4 linked regions of the Saccharomyces cerevisiae S288C genome follow. The protein of the gene in region 1 purifies or fractionates together with the protein of each later gene. This does not show direct contact. Each region holds a gene or a part of one and is shown on either strand. Other genes may lie near its edges.

Evidence for each region.
Region 2: the proteins of BUD20 (region 1) and MRT4 purify together in Saccharomyces cerevisiae (affinity purification with mass spectrometry; 6 studies listed by BioGRID, with this or other methods). This does not show direct contact.
Region 3: the proteins of BUD20 (region 1) and NOG2 purify together in Saccharomyces cerevisiae (affinity purification with mass spectrometry; 9 studies listed by BioGRID, with this or other methods). This does not show direct contact.
Region 4: the proteins of BUD20 (region 1) and RLP24 purify together in Saccharomyces cerevisiae (affinity purification with western blotting; 5 studies listed by BioGRID, with this or other methods). This does not show direct contact.

What each region holds. Positions count from the first base shown.
Region 1 is NC_001144.5:281,073-285,066, reverse strand, and holds BUD20 (Bud20p), read left to right. Parts: upstream 1-2,610; coding exon 2,611-3,111; downstream 3,112-3,994. Other genes in the region: FMP25 (Fmp25p), read right to left, coding at 1-1,195; 60S ribosomal protein uL16 RPL10, read right to left, coding at 1,475-2,140; RFU1 (Rfu1p), read left to right, coding at 3,446-3,994. UniProt on the Saccharomyces cerevisiae protein: Involved in pre-60S ribosomal particles maturation by promoting the nuclear export of the 60S ribosome. Involved in positioning the proximal bud pole signal.
Region 2 is NC_001143.9:423,390-427,452, forward strand, and holds MRT4 (ribosome assembly factor MRT4), read left to right. Parts: upstream 1-2,852; coding exon 2,853-3,563; downstream 3,564-4,063. Other genes in the region: putative ubiquitin-protein ligase UFD4, read right to left, coding at 1-2,486; sphingosine N-acyltransferase LAC1, read right to left, coding at 3,906-4,063. UniProt on the Saccharomyces cerevisiae protein: Component of the ribosome assembly machinery. Nuclear paralog of the ribosomal protein P0, it binds pre-60S subunits at an early stage of assembly in the nucleolus, and is replaced by P0 in cytoplasmic pre-60S subunits and mature 80S ribosomes.
Region 3 is NC_001146.8:719,922-725,452, reverse strand, and holds NOG2 (putative GTPase NOG2), read left to right. Parts: upstream 1-2,340; coding exon 2,341-3,150; intron 3,151-3,241; exon of another isoform or gene 3,242-3,515; intron 3,516-3,682; coding exon 3,683-4,333; downstream 4,334-5,531. Other genes in the region: RNA-binding ATPase activator ESF2, read left to right, coding at 1,147-2,097; CCR4-NOT core DEDD family RNase subunit POP2, read left to right, coding at 4,806-5,531. UniProt on the Saccharomyces cerevisiae protein: GTPase that associates with pre-60S ribosomal subunits in the nucleolus and is required for their nuclear export and maturation.
Region 4 is NC_001144.5:164,929-168,791, forward strand, and holds RLP24 (ATPase-activating ribosome biosynthesis protein), read left to right. Parts: upstream 1-1,608; coding exon 1,609-2,208; downstream 2,209-3,863. Other genes in the region: Smc5-Smc6 complex subunit NSE1, read left to right, coding at 1-474; PAM18 (Pam18p), read right to left, coding at 649-1,155; TEN1 (Ten1p), read right to left, coding at 2,392-2,874. UniProt on the Saccharomyces cerevisiae protein: Involved in the biogenesis of the 60S ribosomal subunit. Ensures the docking of NOG1 to pre-60S ribosomal particles. Activates and recruits ATPase AFG2 to cytoplasmic pre-60S ribosomal particles.

The sequences.
Region 1 (3,994 bases):
TCCAGCCAAAGGCATAAATTTCACCAGTCTTATCTATTGCCAGTGTATGGTACGACCCGCAAGCTATCTTTTTAATTTCTCTTTTGCGGACAACGTCTTCTCCTTCATGCTTAAATTTGTTCAGCAGTTCAATTTCGAATAGTTGATTATTGGGAGGAAACTCATCGAATTGTGAGAATGTTGGTATACCGAATTGTCCTTTGGATACTTGAGCTTGTTTTTGATCATTTCCCGTCGCGCAGCAATAAGCCTTACCTAAATTAGATAGCAACACCAGATGATGGCTACCAGCGTCAAATTGTACTACACGTTTTTCTCCTTCCTTACCGTTGAAAATCTGATTTGTTTGTAATTTCCAATCATATCTTAGTTTTGTCTTCCATGGCAACAATTTCGACCTTCTTGATGATACTTGCGAAGCTATCAGATCCGGCGTTCTTATAGGTATGACCAATATTTCACCCTTTTTATTCAAAGCGTACAAAAAGTGACTAGAATACTTCATTGAGGTCAAATCTTGATCTGGCAATATCGTTTTTGTTTGTCCCAAATCATCCCACGATATCAAATCGCCTTTCTCGTCAATTGCAAAATTGGTGTTGAAATCGTCAGAGGGAGCTAATAGGATATCTCTGAATTTACGACCATCCAAATTAGGTACTCTAACAGGGAACAATGAGTCCTTAGAATGACACCTTCCCCATATGTATACACCAGGATGATCTATTCCAAGTTGAAAGGCAGGCACTTGAGGAATCTCCCTTAATAGATTTTTGGCCTTTTGTCTGATCAATTTTTCCAACGAATCCTGTCCACTTTGCTCTTGCGTTGCATTTATGCGACCGCCATTCATCTTGATTAACCACCAGGATTTTAATTCTGGCCAACGCAAGTAGGCCGTTCCCAACCCACCCACTACCACGAGAATGAGGATCCCTTGCCCAACAGCAGATAATTTCGCCATCCTTTCCCATTGGAGTTCAGATTCCTTTGTGATCTGATCAGGAGACTTCTCAGGCCATTGGAAATGCTCGTCTGATGGCCTTTTCTTTGCTTTATATGCGCCATGGTTAATGTTCTCTGCAAACAACTCTGCTTCATCGTATTGAGGTTGTTTGGCGTATCGCCTGATGGGACTAACCCAGTTAAGGCGAGGGAGACGTTGAGAAGTCCTCGTGAATAATCTGAATGACATTAGCGGCGCACGTCCCTGTTATCGATTGCTCCCTTTCTTGTTAGACGCATTCAACAATTCTTCGTTACTGCAGCTCAGGCTTTTTTTTTTCCTGCTGGTATACAAAAAGCAACAGTGTCCATTGACTTCAGGATATATCACTACCCAACATGCTGAACTTTAAAAAAACACATAATTATATGTATTACAATAATGTATAAATATATTTACTGTTTAATAAACTAGAATTTAAATCAAAAAAATTTCTCTTTTAAGTTAGTTCAAATGTTTGAAAAGAACTTAAGCTTGAGCAGCAAAGTATTCTGGGAATTCTCTGATGTTGTTTTCCAAAGAACCCTTCTTGGACAAGAACTTAACGAAAGCACCGTCGTCCTTGACTTCACCAGCTTCTCTCTTCTTCAAGTATTCTGGTCTGTCCAAGTTGGTGAAACCCCACTTCTTAGACAAAATAATCTTTTGTTGACCTGGGAACTTGTATCTGGCTCTTCTCAAACCTTCAACGACAACATCCTTGTTGCTGTCCTTGGTTCTGACAGAGAAGATAATTTGACCAATGTCGACACGAGCGGCCAAACCGTGTGGCTTACCCCAAGCACCTCTCATACCTTGTTGCAATCTATCCGCACCGGCACAAGACAACATCTTGTTGATTCTCAAGACATGGAAAGGATGGACTCTGACTCTTAAGTGGAAAGCATCTCTACCGGAGACAGTAGTCATGTACTTGTTGGCACAGATACGAGCAGCTTCCAAAGCTTCAGAAGACAATTGTTCCAATTCGTTGGAAACCAAATGGACACACAATGGGAATTCATCGACGGTAGCCTTCTTCTTACCCAAATCGTAGATTCTGATCTTGGAGTCTGGAACAGCTCTGTTGTATCTAGACTTTGGGTAAGGCTTGTTCTTTTGGTATCTGTAACATCTAGCTGGTCTTCTAGCCATCTTGAATTAGTTATTTGATATACTGTACTTTAAAGTTTGAAAGTCCCACTCCAAAAGCACTTGCGGAAAGGATGTATAAATGGTTGCTCCACATCAACATCTTTTTATAAACTATTCTCTAGAGAAACCAAACTGACCATCAATTCTGAGATGAAAAGTTTCCTTAGTCAGCATTATTGTGCTAACTAGTTTCGGAGGGAAAAATATCGAAAAAAAAAAACCAAAAAAAAAAATAAAAAAAATGTACGGAGGGAAAAGATGTACAGGTGTAAAAAAGCACCCCACGGAAATAACCGCTACTATAATTTCATTTCTTTTTTTTCTATATCCTGCGGAAAATTTTTTTATACTGACAGGGGAAAAAGCAAATTAATTTTGCTTTTATATATGGAAAGTAGCGGGAGATGAGATGAGGTGAATTGAAAGGCAGTTAAACACACAGACAAGTGAAGATAAAACAATAGCGCATCATGGGTAGATATTCGGTGAAGAGATACAAGACTAAAAGAAGAACACGAGACTTGGACCTGATCTATAACGATTTGTCCACCAAGGAATCAGTACAGAAGCTTCTGAACCAGCCATTGGATGAAACCAAACCGGGCCTTGGTCAGCACTATTGCATACACTGTGCCAAATACATGGAGACTGCTATAGCGTTAAAAACGCATTTAAAGGGCAAAGTGCACAAAAGAAGAGTCAAGGAGTTGAGGGGTGTCCCTTACACACAAGAAGTCTCTGATGCTGCTGCGGGCTACAATTTGAACAAGTTCTTGAACCGTGTACAGGAGATCACGCAATCGGTGGGTCCGGAGAAGGAAAGTAATGAGGCCTTGCTGAAGGAGCATTTGGACAGTACCTTGGCAAACGTCAAAACAACAGAACCTACTCTACCGTGGGCGGCTGCTGATGCCGAGGCGAATACCGCTGCCGTAACAGAGGCAGAGTCTACTGCCTCAGCCAGTACTTAACAGTAAAGTAAAGATCAGAACCAAAAATAGGCATATACACTTTTTATAGTATAACACACTTCCAGTCAACTCGAATCGCTTTTGCCGCGAAACGCAATGAAAAAAAGTACGCAACAAAGAGAAATAATGAAAAAAAAAAGAAAAAATTTTTTCATTGCTAGGCGATGAGCATCGACAGTTTTATACGTAAATCAATGGTTAGATAGATAATATTAATAACATACAAGACAATTTTTGCTTCGATTAAAGTGTTGGCACGAATTATTGTTGCGGTTCACCAACCACTATACATTTTTTCTCTTCCTTCCGCATCTTTATCTGGCCCCGGTAGGTCATGAAGTCTAGTAAGCAATTGGTTCAGGACGCTAAGGATTATCGCTTCAATCCGGCGATACCATTGAGAATTTACCTGAAAACATGCATCGGCATATTGGAAAAGGCACAGTGTGCGTTCCAGGCCAACGACTTGTCGCTGTCGTTTATTTATTATTTTAGATATGTGGATTTATTGACTAACAAACTATCTAGACACCCTGAGCTTTTGCGCATGGATGCGTCGTCGTCATCGTCGTCATCGTATATTCATAAAAGAGAATACCTGCAACTCATAAAGTTGGAAGTGCCTGCGGTCTGCAAAATTATTGAAAGCTTACGCACCCAAATTGATTCTCAATACAGCAAATTGCAAACATCACTCGCTAATAATATAGCCAAGCCGAACATAAACGCAAACACAACTCCCGTGCAGGTGGAGCAACAACCACTGCCGAAGAAATCTTTCGACGAGTATAGCTTCAACCAATCAATTTCTTTTTTCCAGAAAATTTCAAACGCACAACTTAATACCGGAGCAAGCTCTCAGAGTCAGGCCACTGCCCGTGAT
Region 2 (4,063 bases), on another chromosome or scaffold:
GCCAGTGAAGATACACCACCACCATCGTGTAAACCGCAATCAACTATAGAGAAATTCTCCAGCCTTGTGAGAGCAGATTGTAGGATTTCTAAAAATCTGTCAATACAATCCTCAAATACCTCTAAAAATGATTTAGCAAGAATGAAATGGGATACCGTTGAGGATGTAATTCTTTTAGTTATGGAGGAAGCTAGCCCTGTAGAAGTAAATTCGAAACCTGACACGTCGAAATCTTCATGGAAAATACATTTTTTTAAAACAGACCAAATTCCCTTCCAATCCTCTTCAGTTTTGTCCGGAGTGGAAGGATTTTCTAAAATAGAAACAACGCCTTCGATTTGATGGAGCTCCTCTGTTATTGCTTCTTGCTCAACGTTCATCTGAGAAAGTACTCTATTAACTAGGTTCACACCCTTGTTTTTAATATAAGCTAGAGATAGAGTTCTGAAAATGTGTATTGAAATTTTCTTTGGTTTTACTGAATCAGGAATTTCCATATCAGTAAATTCGTAATCATATTCTTCATCACCCTCATCACATTCCTCAATACTGCTATGCAAATCCCCTTCTTCGTCAGAAAGTGAAATATTTTCATTCCCGTCTTCCTTTAAATCAATGTTATTGAAATCCACAGACAAATCCTTAACCAAATCAAAAATGCCCTCTCTTTTGATGGAAGGAAAGAACAGTTCGGAAAACTTTTTACAAATTAAGTCAAGCAACGAGAGACCACCAACCAACAGTGTACCAGCTTCTGATGAGTAAGTACCATTAGCGTTAGACGCTGTTTCTTTTTGGGCCAGGATAGATCCGATTAACTTAATAAGTTGATCATTGATTGCCTTTGCTGTGGAATTATTTATGCATGATACAACCCTCAGTAAAGCAATAAGTACGTATCTTCTTACGTCAAAGTCAGCAGCATTTGTATAAATTTCAACGAGAATTGGAATTAGACATTGAACTAGGGAATCAAACTTTTCCTGGTTAGAAATTACGCCACGGTCGCTATTTCCGGTATATTTATCCGCTGACAGTATTCTTTCATCCTCGGGAGGAAACAATACAACTATAAATCTAGAAATGCTAATCAATAAACTGTTTGGGACATAAATCAGTGTTTCATGTAACCCTGCGTTAGGACTTTTACTATAATGCTGGAATGATCGTGTTGCCATGTCGACAATGTCAGTTTTCTCTCTCAGTTCTCTTGAAAGTACATCACTACTCATCGCTAATACGGTTAAAATATCCAAACATTTCAGTTTATTCTCCAAGGGGGTATCCTGAATAGAAACTAGCTGAACTATTCTTTCGATTAAATCCAACGAAAACAAAGTCTCAAATTTGTCAACCCCATGCAACGCCCCGCAAATACCGTACATGGCATTTACAAGCCTGGTTAATATTGGTTGGTCTGTCGCATTCGAGAAAATTGGCTTCAGCGTTGGAAGTACTTCAACAATGGTCTTAAAGTCATCCGTTCGGATACTGCTACAGGCGTTCGAAACAATTGCGATAGCCTTCCTCTGCGCATGTATAGTTAAAAAATCGAAGAATTGGACGTAGATTGATAATTGGCCCGTTTTTAAAATGTCTCTCCCATGTACTCTAGAAATATATTCCACCGTTTCTAAAACTTGTTCTGCGAGGTCAATGTAACTGATCTCTACCAATTTTCCTTGTAAAATTGGTATAACGTGTTCATCAACAGCTATTGAAATAGATTCAGGGCAGACCTCAAAAAGATTATACATGCATCTACAAGCTTGCATTTGTAATTCTAATTCTTCCCGTAAAATTTTATCAGAGAGTATGGCAGCTATATTACCTATTAAGGTTTCCATCGGTATAATTCTATCGACAACCATTTGATTCATCATTAATATGTTTTCAGAAAGTTCTTTTAAACTCTCCATTGCAATATAAGGATCCTCGGAGGCATTCCCAGTATTCTCTATCAATTTAGAAATCCGCTCATTCCTTGCCGAACTCTCTGCGCTCCTCTCCATCCTTCCTCCAATCATCGATAAAATCTCGGGTAGTGTTCTTCCAACCGGGTGTTGCCCAAGTCCTTCACTTGTTTGTCTTCTTTGTTCTAGTCTTTGTGCGAATGTTTCCAAAATGTCAGGTAAATGTAGGGGGTTGCTGCCAAATTCATTATTATCGTGAGAACGTTCAAGTCCATCTTCTTCTTCATTTCTGTCTTCGTCACTGCCATTCTGAGTTCTATGATATCCATATAAAAGTCCAGAATCATCTTCATGATGGTAATCGTTATCGTCATCTTCACCATCATCTGCCTCAAAACTTCCGACGCTAGAAAGCATATGTTCATCTTCATCTTCATCAGGATAATAAGAGTACTCACCCTGTACATGGCCATCCTCATCATAGTCATCTTCTACCTGCGTATCCATCATATAATCACTGTTTTCGCTATGGGACTCATGTTCATCAAGGTTGTGCGAATTATTTTCAGACATGCTTGGCTACTCTTCTATTTTAAATGTTTATCCAAAATTTTCACACCTGAGATATATTGTTGTTAATAAAGCACACAGAAAGGAAAGTATCGATCCCAGAAAGTGGTCTTTCCCTGGGTATGATCAAAGCTATTCCCCTTTCCAACTACTGTTGGCTATGATCCCACAATTTGATTTCAGTTCAGAAAACCCAACCATTAGGACTTTACCCGGCGAAGGTGAAAGAAAAAATTTTTTTCCAGAAAAATGCGATGAGCTTTTGAAAAGTTGCAAATATTTGTAGTACTTTGGCTAAGCAGAGCTGATTCCTTTTGCTATACGTACATCACTGTCTATCGTCCATAAAAGATTTATTATAGTTGAATCATGCCAAGATCAAAACGTTCCAAGCTAGTCACTTTAGCACAAACCGATAAAAAGGGCAGAGAAAATAAAGAAAGAATTTTCGATGAAGTGAGGGAAGCCTTAGATACTTATAGATACGTCTGGGTCCTACATCTTGACGACGTAAGAACTCCAGTTTTACAAGAAATCAGAACATCTTGGGCAGGCTCTAAGTTAATTATGGGTAAGAGGAAAGTTTTACAAAAAGCATTGGGAGAAAAGAGGGAAGAAGAATACAAAGAAAATCTGTATCAATTGAGTAAGCTTTGTAGCGGTGTCACTGGTTTATTGTTCACTGATGAGGATGTCAACACTGTCAAGGAATACTTTAAGTCATACGTTCGTTCAGACTATTCAAGACCGAACACGAAAGCACCACTAACATTTACAATTCCTGAGGGCATTGTCTACTCACGTGGTGGTCAAATTCCAGCTGAGGAAGATGTTCCAATGATTCATTCTTTAGAGCCAACTATGAGAAACAAATTTGAAATTCCAACTAAAATCAAAGCTGGTAAGATCACCATTGACAGTCCATATTTAGTTTGCACTGAAGGAGAAAAATTAGATGTTCGTCAAGCTTTAATACTGAAACAATTCGGTATCGCTGCTTCTGAATTCAAAGTCAAGGTGTCGGCCTACTATGACAACGATAGCTCCACTGTTGAAAGCACTAACATCAACATGGAATAAGCTGAACTATTATTTGGAAGCCTTTTTTAATAGACCATTGTATAAAAATTTCTTTTTTTTGTATAGATATACTAAAGCAACGCTCATAAATGTAACATAGCTTCTTTTCAACTGAGAATTTATATTCATGCTAACTAAGCGTAAATCACTTTTGATCTTCACAGCTCTTTAGCGGCACGAAAGCAAGAAAAAAAGATAACACTGTATGTCTGGAAAAGAATACTATAAAAATACCTGTTTACATAAACCAATAAGGAAGAACGTGAGAGCAGGACCGTAAAAGAATTAATGTGTAAAGAATTAATGTGTAATGGTTATACTACTTAAAAACACCGTTTTCCTTCAAATATCCTTTTTCGTTGGAGTACTGTCAGTTGGAGTAGTGGAACTTTCATCACTTTCTTCGTCTGATTCACTATCACTTCTGTCATCCTTGAGAATACCTCTCCATAGAATCCTGTAAAGAACTCTAAAAATAAGGAACAGCCAATAAAGATTCA
Region 3 (5,531 bases), on another chromosome or scaffold:
ATTTTCCATTTTGAGCAATACGGGGAGTCGCTACCTCGATTCTAAGTTATGCTGCATTGACTTTATTGTGTGATATACATATCGATGTACTAGAAAGGGTTTGGTTTGGCCAAGTTTTTTATTATGAGGGTGCATTTTTTCTGTTTTAACACATTTCTCATGATCCTAATAGAAGGTTGAGTAGAGATGTACATAATATTTTGCGGAAAGTTTCGACACGTTCATTAGGTTCTAAAAAATTATTATTTTTCATAAGCTATTGAGATCTTATCACCTTGCTCTGTAATTCTAAAGTTGTTCTAAAACCGCAATTAATGTTTCAATTTTGGCGCTATTAATAATGATGGATACTCAACGAGGCGTACCAGTAGCATTTTGCCATCTTAACACATTAGCAAACGTTGCTATTATTGATCCTTCCATAAGTAATTTCACACATCCATTTTCGTCCCTAAGATAAAACAAAGTCTCACAATTCGTATATTGATATTTCAAACCCCAAAGCCTGTAGCCTTTTGATTATGACCGACTTCCCAGACGTGGCCATATTGATAAAGGTGCTTTCTGATCAAAGTTAGTATTAAAGAAAGGGTAAAATTCGTAATATCGTAATATTGTAATATGAACCAAAAACGTTCACAATGTGTAGGATGCACTACCAAATAGGTTGCGTTGTAGTACTCATCTCTCGGTTGCGCGACTAGAAAGTTACTAGAAAACTCCGGAATTCCTTATAATATACTGCAATAATGCACATGTATCTTTTCAGTGCAAATTAATTATAGGAACAAACAGATAGCGACAATTCTTTAAGGGCTGCTGGATTGACAACCCCTTCATCGACCATATTTGATTAGCCAGCCACCAAATAGCGTTTCAATTGACAAACTACATTATCTCGTGAAGAATATTTAAACGGTGATATTGGGTCTGTCTGATCACATTTCCAAAGGCAATGACGTGTAAATTTTTTCTTTCTCTTGTTTTATTATTTTGAATTACTTCGTTATAGCCAGCTTTTCTCACATTGCGCAGTAAAACTTTCGCTATTAAGATTTTGAAAAATTTCAACCTGACAAACTACCCATTGCTATGTAAGTACAAAGCAAACAGTTTACTGCAGCAGAGTGAAGTAAATTTTTACGCATGAGTGAAAAAGTAAATAGTGACTTTGAAGACTTTTCCTCAGATGAGGAAACCGATCAACATAACGTCTTAATTCAGACCAAGAAAAAAATTTCTAGTAAGGATGATATCTTCAGTAAGAAGGTAGAAGACATCGAAAGTGAAAACGAGTCAGACATAGAAGAAGAGCAAAAACAAGAAGAAAAAGAGGATGTAGAACAACCAGATAAAGAGAATGGAGAAAAGCTCGATCGAGAAGTAGAAGAACAAGCTTCGTCCACCACTTCACTGGATTTAAAAACAGAAAAACTAAGGCAACTGGTAAAATCAAAGGCCGCCAAGAAGTCTAAACACAAGACTGGGGTGGTATACTTCTCCAGTATTCCACCTTACATGAAACCTGCAAAAATGAGACAAATATTAACTCGTTTTGGTGAGGTAGATAGACTATTTCTAAAGAAAGAGGACGATCAAAAGTACAAGCAAAGAGTTAAAGGTGGAGGAAACAAGAAAAACAAGTATGAAGAAGGTTGGGCCGAGTTTATTAGGAAAAGAGACGCCAAATTGTGTGCGGAGACGTTGAACGGGAACATTATTGGTGGCAAGAAAGGTACTTTCTACCATGATGATATCCTGAACGTGAAGTACCTCCCAGGTTTCAAATGGGCAGATTTGACTGAACAGATTGCCCGCGAGAACGATATCAGACAGGCCAAGTTGGAGATGGAAATCTCGCAGGCCAACAAACTGAACGCGGAATTCATTAGAAACGTGGAGCAAAGTAAGATGATACAAAACATTAAGAACTCTAGGAAGCGCGCCGGAAAAGAAGGAGAGTCTGCAGATTCTCACCCTCACAGGGAATTTAAACAACGTCGTGTGGAAACAAGCCGTGCCAATGCTCCCTCTGATATCAAGCAGCAATCCTCTGGGTCCAAAGACTTGGGTAATGTTCTCACCAATTTACTATAATATAGAATCAATAACAAATATATAAACACAACCTGTCATTTAGCACGTTTTTTTGCCCGATGCTCATCGCAAAAATTTTTCGCTTGAAGAAAAATTTTTCACTTTTCTTCTTTTTGGGCATATAAAGAAGCGTAGAATATATAAAAGATATTTACTACTTGTTAGTACTTTCCCTTAAGTGTTAACTTTGAAGATCTGTTGACTTGCAGCAAAACCACTAAATATCAGGGGAGGAATAATACAATGGGTACTGGTAAGAAAGAGAAATCTAGACGTATTCGTGAAGGTGACACCAAAGATGGTAATCTTCGTGTGAAGGGTGAAAATTTCTACAGAGACTCCAAGAGAGTCAAATTCCTGAATATGTACACTAGTGGGAAGGAGATCAGGAATAAGAAAGGTAATTTAATTAGGGCCGCTTCTTTCCAGGACTCCACAATACCGGATGCGAGGGTCCAACCAGATCGTCGTTGGTTCGGTAACACAAGAGTGATATCTCAGGACGCACTGCAGCATTTCAGAAGTGCATTGGGTGAAACCCAAAAAGATACATATCAAGTTCTTCTGAGAAGAAATAAGCTTCCCATGTCATTGTTGGAAGAAAAGGACGCAGATGAATCCCCAAAAGCCAGAATTTTGGATACCGAAAGTTATGCTGATGCGTTTGGGCCCAAAGCCCAAAGAAAGAGACCACGTCTTGCTGCATCCAATCTAGAGGACTTGGTCAAGGCTACAAATGAAGACATTACCAAGTATGAGGAAAAGCAAGTCTTAGATGCCACATTAGGACTAATGGGGAACCAGGAAGACAAAGAAAATGGGTGGACCTCCGCAGCAAAAGAAGCTATTTTCAGTAAGGGTCAATCCAAACGTATTTGGAACGAATTATATAAAGTCATCGATTCGTCTGACGTGGTAATACATGTTCTAGATGCAAGGGATCCATTGGGTACCCGTTGTAAGTCCGTGGAAGAGTATATGAAGAAGGAAACACCACACAAGCATTTAATTTATGTTCTTAATAAGTGTGATTTGGTACCTACCTGGGTTGCAGTATGTTAACTTTTTTTTTTTTTTTTTTGATTCTTTCCAACCAAGAGGATAGCACGAGAGATTTTTTTTTTCGATAGAGTATGATTTTTATTACCAAACCTTTTTGTCAGGGTGCTTCTCTATCCGTTTTAGGATAAACTTATCTACAGAAGTGTCTGTTACTGTTTTGGAAGAGTAATACTGTTCGCTTATCCATATTTCCCCGTTCTGGGGAAGCCTCATGGGTAAATTAGAAGGACAACCTTTGTTTTAAAGGTATACCTTCGCTTTTTAGAACAGCGAGGATCTTATGAGTTGAGCTTTTGTTATTTGAGACTTTATCTCGGGCTCCATACAATATGTTCGTAGTAAAGATCCTCACAATTTTCTACTTTTTTTTTTTTTTTAGTTTAATCCACTCTTCGAAACAATCAATCTCGGCTATAACAATGATTATTACATTCTCTTGGGGCAAAAGATTACCTATTATGAAACAAAATGTATTTTTTACTAACAGAAGGTTTTTTTTTTTCAATTCTAACTTTACAAGTAGGCAGCTTGGGTCAAACATTTGTCAAAGGAACGTCCAACTTTGGCGTTTCACGCATCTATTACCAACTCTTTCGGTAAAGGTTCGTTAATTCAGTTGCTACGTCAGTTCTCACAGTTGCATACTGATAGAAAGCAAATATCTGTAGGGTTTATCGGCTATCCAAACACTGGTAAATCGTCCATCATTAACACATTGAGAAAGAAAAAGGTGTGTCAAGTTGCACCAATCCCTGGTGAAACTAAGGTCTGGCAATATATTACTCTTATGAAAAGAATTTTTTTGATTGATTGTCCAGGTATTGTGCCGCCTTCTAGTAAAGACTCCGAAGAAGACATTTTATTCAGAGGTGTTGTCAGAGTCGAACACGTCACACACCCAGAACAATATATTCCAGGTGTTTTAAAACGTTGTCAGGTAAAGCACTTGGAAAGAACTTACGAGATCTCAGGATGGAAGGATGCCACGGAGTTTATTGAAATTCTGGCAAGGAAACAAGGTAGATTACTGAAGGGTGGTGAGCCTGATGAGTCTGGTGTTTCTAAGCAAATATTGAATGATTTTAATAGAGGTAAAATCCCTTGGTTCGTCCTTCCACCTGAAAAGGAAGGGGAAGAAAAACCAAAGAAGAAAGAAGTTGAGAAGACGGCATAGAGGTAAAAACGGACAACCGGTGTATAATATTAATTTAAGATTACAAGTGATTTTTTTTTTCTTTTTTTTTGTTATTTTTTTTTTTGTTCTTATTATATGGCAGCAAACATTCTTGGGGAAACAACATAGATGGGTAATTATTTAGTTTATAAAGTATAATATTCCAATAGAAAACTTAAGTTCGGTAATGATATAGCCCTCTCTATAGTATAAGGTAAATCTCATTATACCAGTCATTCCAAACGGAATTCGGTCCTTACCCGCTGCTCGCTCTTTTTTCATCATTATGATATTTTCTTTATTGAGTCTTTTCAATTATAGTAGTAGAATGATAACTGACAAGAAAGATCAGTTTGAAGTTTATTAGCGTGTCTCGTTATCAGGGCTTCCTTGTTTTTCATACTGGAAATACTTCGAACGATTAGAAACAGGCAACTCAATTTTATACATTTATAAAGGGTCAAAAAGGATTATGCAATCTATGAATGTACAACCGAGGGTATTAGCTGTAGGAGGTGAGCAGTTTTTCTCTCAGAGGCAGGCTTCTGAACAACACCAGCAGCAAAACATGGGACCTCAGGTGTATTCGCCAAAGGTTAATAGAGCAAGAATGTTTCCTCAAGGGATGCCTGTAAATACAATTAATGGCTCTGTTAATCAGGAGATGAACAATGCCTATCTTTTGAAGCAGAAGAACGAGCCACTGTTAACTCAGCAACAACAGCAACAGCAACAACAACAGCAGCCATTTAATATAGGAACGCCTGTTTCGGTGGCTAGTTTGCCGCCCGGACTGAACGTTCTGCAGCAACAACAACAGCAGCAACAACAACAGCAGCAACAGCAGCAGGGAGTGGGACTCAATCGTCCCTTGGCTTCCCAGCTACCCAAGCATTTAACCAACCAAAGTATGCCACCGATCTTTTTACCACCCCCAAATTATCTTTTCGTTCGCGATGTCTGGAAGTCCAACCTTTACAGTGAATTCGCCGTTATAAGACAACTGGTCTCGCAGTATAATCATGTGTCAATCAGTACTGAGTTTGTGGGGACTTTGGCTAGGCCGATCGGCACTTTCAGGTCGAAGGTCGATTACCACTATCAGACAATGAGGGCCAACGTAGACTTCTTAAACCCAATACAACTTGGTCTTTCCTTGAGTGACGCCAACGGCAATAAGCCTGACAACGGTCCCTCA
Region 4 (3,863 bases), 120 kb from region 1:
ACCTCGATAATTGTGAAGGAAGTCAACCGTATTCTAGTAGCAGCTACAGGAGACTCAAACCTCGCGAAATGGCGTAAGTTCAGTACGTTTACTGTAGGGTCCACCAATCTTTTCCAATTTCAAGAATTAACAGCAACGGACATCGAAGACTTACTACTCCGATTATGCGAACTGAAATGGTTTTACAGGACTCAGGAAGGGAAATTCGGTATTGATCTTCGCTGTATAGCAGAACTAGAAGAGTATCTAACATCCATGTACAATTTGAACACTTGCCAAAATTGCCACAAGCTGGCAATTCAAGGTGTCAGGTGCGGCAACGAATCATGCCGAGAAGAGAATGAGGAAACTGGAGAGAATAGTCTGTCTCAAATTTGGCATGTTGATTGTTTCAAGCATTATATTACCCATGTAAGCAAGAATTGTGATCGTTGCGGTTCATCGCTAATCACAGAGGGCGTATACGTTATTTAAACTAAAATACATAGCTTTCCGTGTTATTTACAAGACTTATCTATACAAACATTTGATTGCCCGAAGTATTTTAATCTCCTAAACGGCATGTGATTGAACACGGTTCGAGGTTTATACCACTTGTATTAGGCATATATGCAATTGCAATAACTCATTTTAGGTTCCCGTTTTACCTTATTTGCTAATACCCCTTTTTTCCAAAAAGTCCTTAGCTTCGTTTATCTTAGTGGCCAAAAATGGAGAACCACCTTTGTCAGGATGATTAGCTAACATAATTTTCCTATGAACCTCTTTCAACTTTTTTTTAGTCAATGTATTTTCTGTCAAATTCAAAATCTGTAGAGCCTCTTTAGAATTCATTTTCGGGTCAAATCCGCCTTTCAAGAAGGCAGTAGTGGATTTTCCACCGTTAAGTCCCTTCGATATTGATTTATATGCACCGGCTGTAAAATATAAAGTTAAAAAGGCCCCAAAACCTGTTATCACAGGATGTTCTCCCATGTAGTTCAAAGCTTGATCAAAATAAAGGTCCATTCCGGTCTTTTGACCCTGCGAACCATTCTGGATACCGACATTAACACCAGCTCCATCAACAGTAACGTTCGCAGAGCCATTAGTTTGACCAGGAATGGGTAGTTGTGGTGCCTCAATAGAATTACCAGTATTACTTTGAGAACTCATGATATTGTGCGGGTGGAAGTGTTTATGCAACCTTATTAAACTGTGCTCGGCCAGTGGAGACGTACAAATTCCACTACTATTCGTACTTTGTCTAGTTCAAGGGTCTCCGTCGAGTGAGTCCTACGTTGATTCAAATGGCTTTCACATTTGGTCCGATTCTCGCTCTTTAAATTTTTTGCCCGCTCGCCTCGAACTCAGCGGAGTGAAAAATTTTCACTCGTCTTTTATTAAATAATGTATTTCTAAACTCATCTCATCTCATCCCACCCTATCTCCAACTTACATCAGTTTCTATCTTGATCCGTGATATACCACTTTTAAGTTCTTCGACTTGTGATTTGAAAGATATTGCTATTCAAGCGTGAGTTGTCCATATTGTTACCACCACCTCCCCGTGATTTACATTCAGAAACTAAAAGGAAAAGGAAGTAGAAGTTTAGTAAGTATAAAAAAATGAGAATTTATCAATGCCATTTTTGCTCATCCCCATGTTATCCAGGTCATGGGATCATGTTTGTGCGTAACGATGCTAAAGAGTTTAGGTTCTGCCGTTCTAAGTGTCACAAGGCATTCAAGCAACGTCGTAACCCAAGAAAACTAAAATGGACCAAAGCTTTCAGAAAGGCTGCCGGAAAAGAATTGGCTGTGGATTCTACCTTGACTTTTGCCCAAAGAAGAAATGTCCCTGTTAGATACAATAGAGAGTTAGTTGCCACAACTTTGAAGGCTATGGCTAGAATCGAAGAAATTAGACAAAAACGTGAAAGAGCCTTCTACAAGAATAGAATGAGAGGTAACAAAGAAAAGGACTTCTTAAGAGATAAGAAATTGGTCGAATCTAACCCAGAATTATTGAGAATCAGAGAAGTTGAAATTGCCAGAAAGTTGGCTAAAGAACAAGAAAGAGCTGAATCAGTATCCGAACAAGAGGAATCTGAAGAAGAAGAGGAGGATATGGAAATCGACAGTGACGAGGAAGAGGAAGAACAATTGGAAAAGCAAAAGATTCTGCTAAAGAACAGAAGAAGAAATACAAAGAAAATTGCTTTTTAGTTAGAACAGAACCGGGCTAATTGCCTCTTTCCTTTCTTTTCTCATACTTATTTCATGGGATAAATAAGAATCACCTGTATACTATTATTTACATTACATAACATTACAATAACTATTTTCAAGGGTCCTCTTACATTCTTATCAAAGGTATTATATAATCTCAGTATATGCCAAACGTCTGACTTAGGAGTTAGAGATGTTCAGAAACTTCTCACCAAGTGGTGATTTGACAAATTCACAGAAATCACGAACGTCATTCCTGGATAGTATCTTAAAATCAATGATTTCAAAAATTGGCGGACTTTGGTGTATTCCATACCATACCCCAATGCGAACATCCAGTACCTGCCCATTTATCAATCTCAAATCATCTTTATGGGCTGAAAATAATCTTTCGCTCATATACAAACGCATCTCCTCTGCGCCATTTGTTGAATTGAGGCAATGAAGATTTCTAACTATCATTTGACAGAAAAAACCTTTAATGAATTCTTCATCCGATTTACAGAACAAGAAATCTACTAATCGAACAACAATCCTGAATCTTTTGGACGGATGAATAATGTTTGGTTCCATTCCGTTTCCACCGTAAACATTGTTATGAATATCGTAATTCGTTGCTATTTTATCCTTCAAACATTTTAAGTCTAGAACTAACTGGCTCATATAACACTGTCGTAGTTCTCTAAAAAGAGCAAATAGAGCTGTATGTAACCAATACAATATAGTGAATTATGTCCTAGAATAAGGGCATTCATTATTCTCCATCTCTGCTTCAGAGAAAAAAAAAAGAAAAAGAAAAAATAACGACAACTGCAGGACTCGAACCTGCGCGGGCAAAGCCCAAAAGATTTCTAATCTTTCGCCTTAACCACTCGGCCAAGTTGCCATATGACTATTGATTTATATCATATTACGAGCCCAAATAATACTGGGGTGTTTTGACAATCCTAATATAAACAGTCTTCGAGAAGTAACCAGTTGTCAAAACGGATTATCAGCTTGATTCAAGGAATGTTAACTGTCCTATATCATATAAAATATGAATCATACTAAATGGTGGAAGCACGGATCTTGGATCTAAACTAATTGTTCAGGCATTTATATGTTTGGGTAGTTTGGCTAAGGGAGGCCGGGTTTTATCTCATGTTGTTCGTTTTGTTATAGGATTGTTTCATATGTATTTTATGAACGTTTAGGATAATGTATTGTCAGGCTGACGTATCTCATTTTGAGATACAATAATTTAACCTATTTTATGTTAAATATTACACAAGATGATAAATATGTCAACTAAAAACTTTAACGCCGAGCTTGGCCATTACAATATAGAGCACATGCTATGATCAAATGAATTAGATGAATACAAGCCAAGAAAGCATTTTTTTAATTACACTTCATGCTTTTGTTGGAATGAAACTGTAAAATACCATCTGTTTAGTAGTATTTGTGTTACCAGTATACCGTCACATGCGGTGTAACGTGAGGACATAAAAAAGTCATCAAAATTAATGTCCCCACGTTACACTGTATATGACAGTATATACTACTGACATGAATACTAGTCGATAGTTAATACATGATTCTTATTACAACATGATGATTACAGTCTCGTCTTGGTCTGTTGTTTGACCCTACTATTTTATGCTATTTTT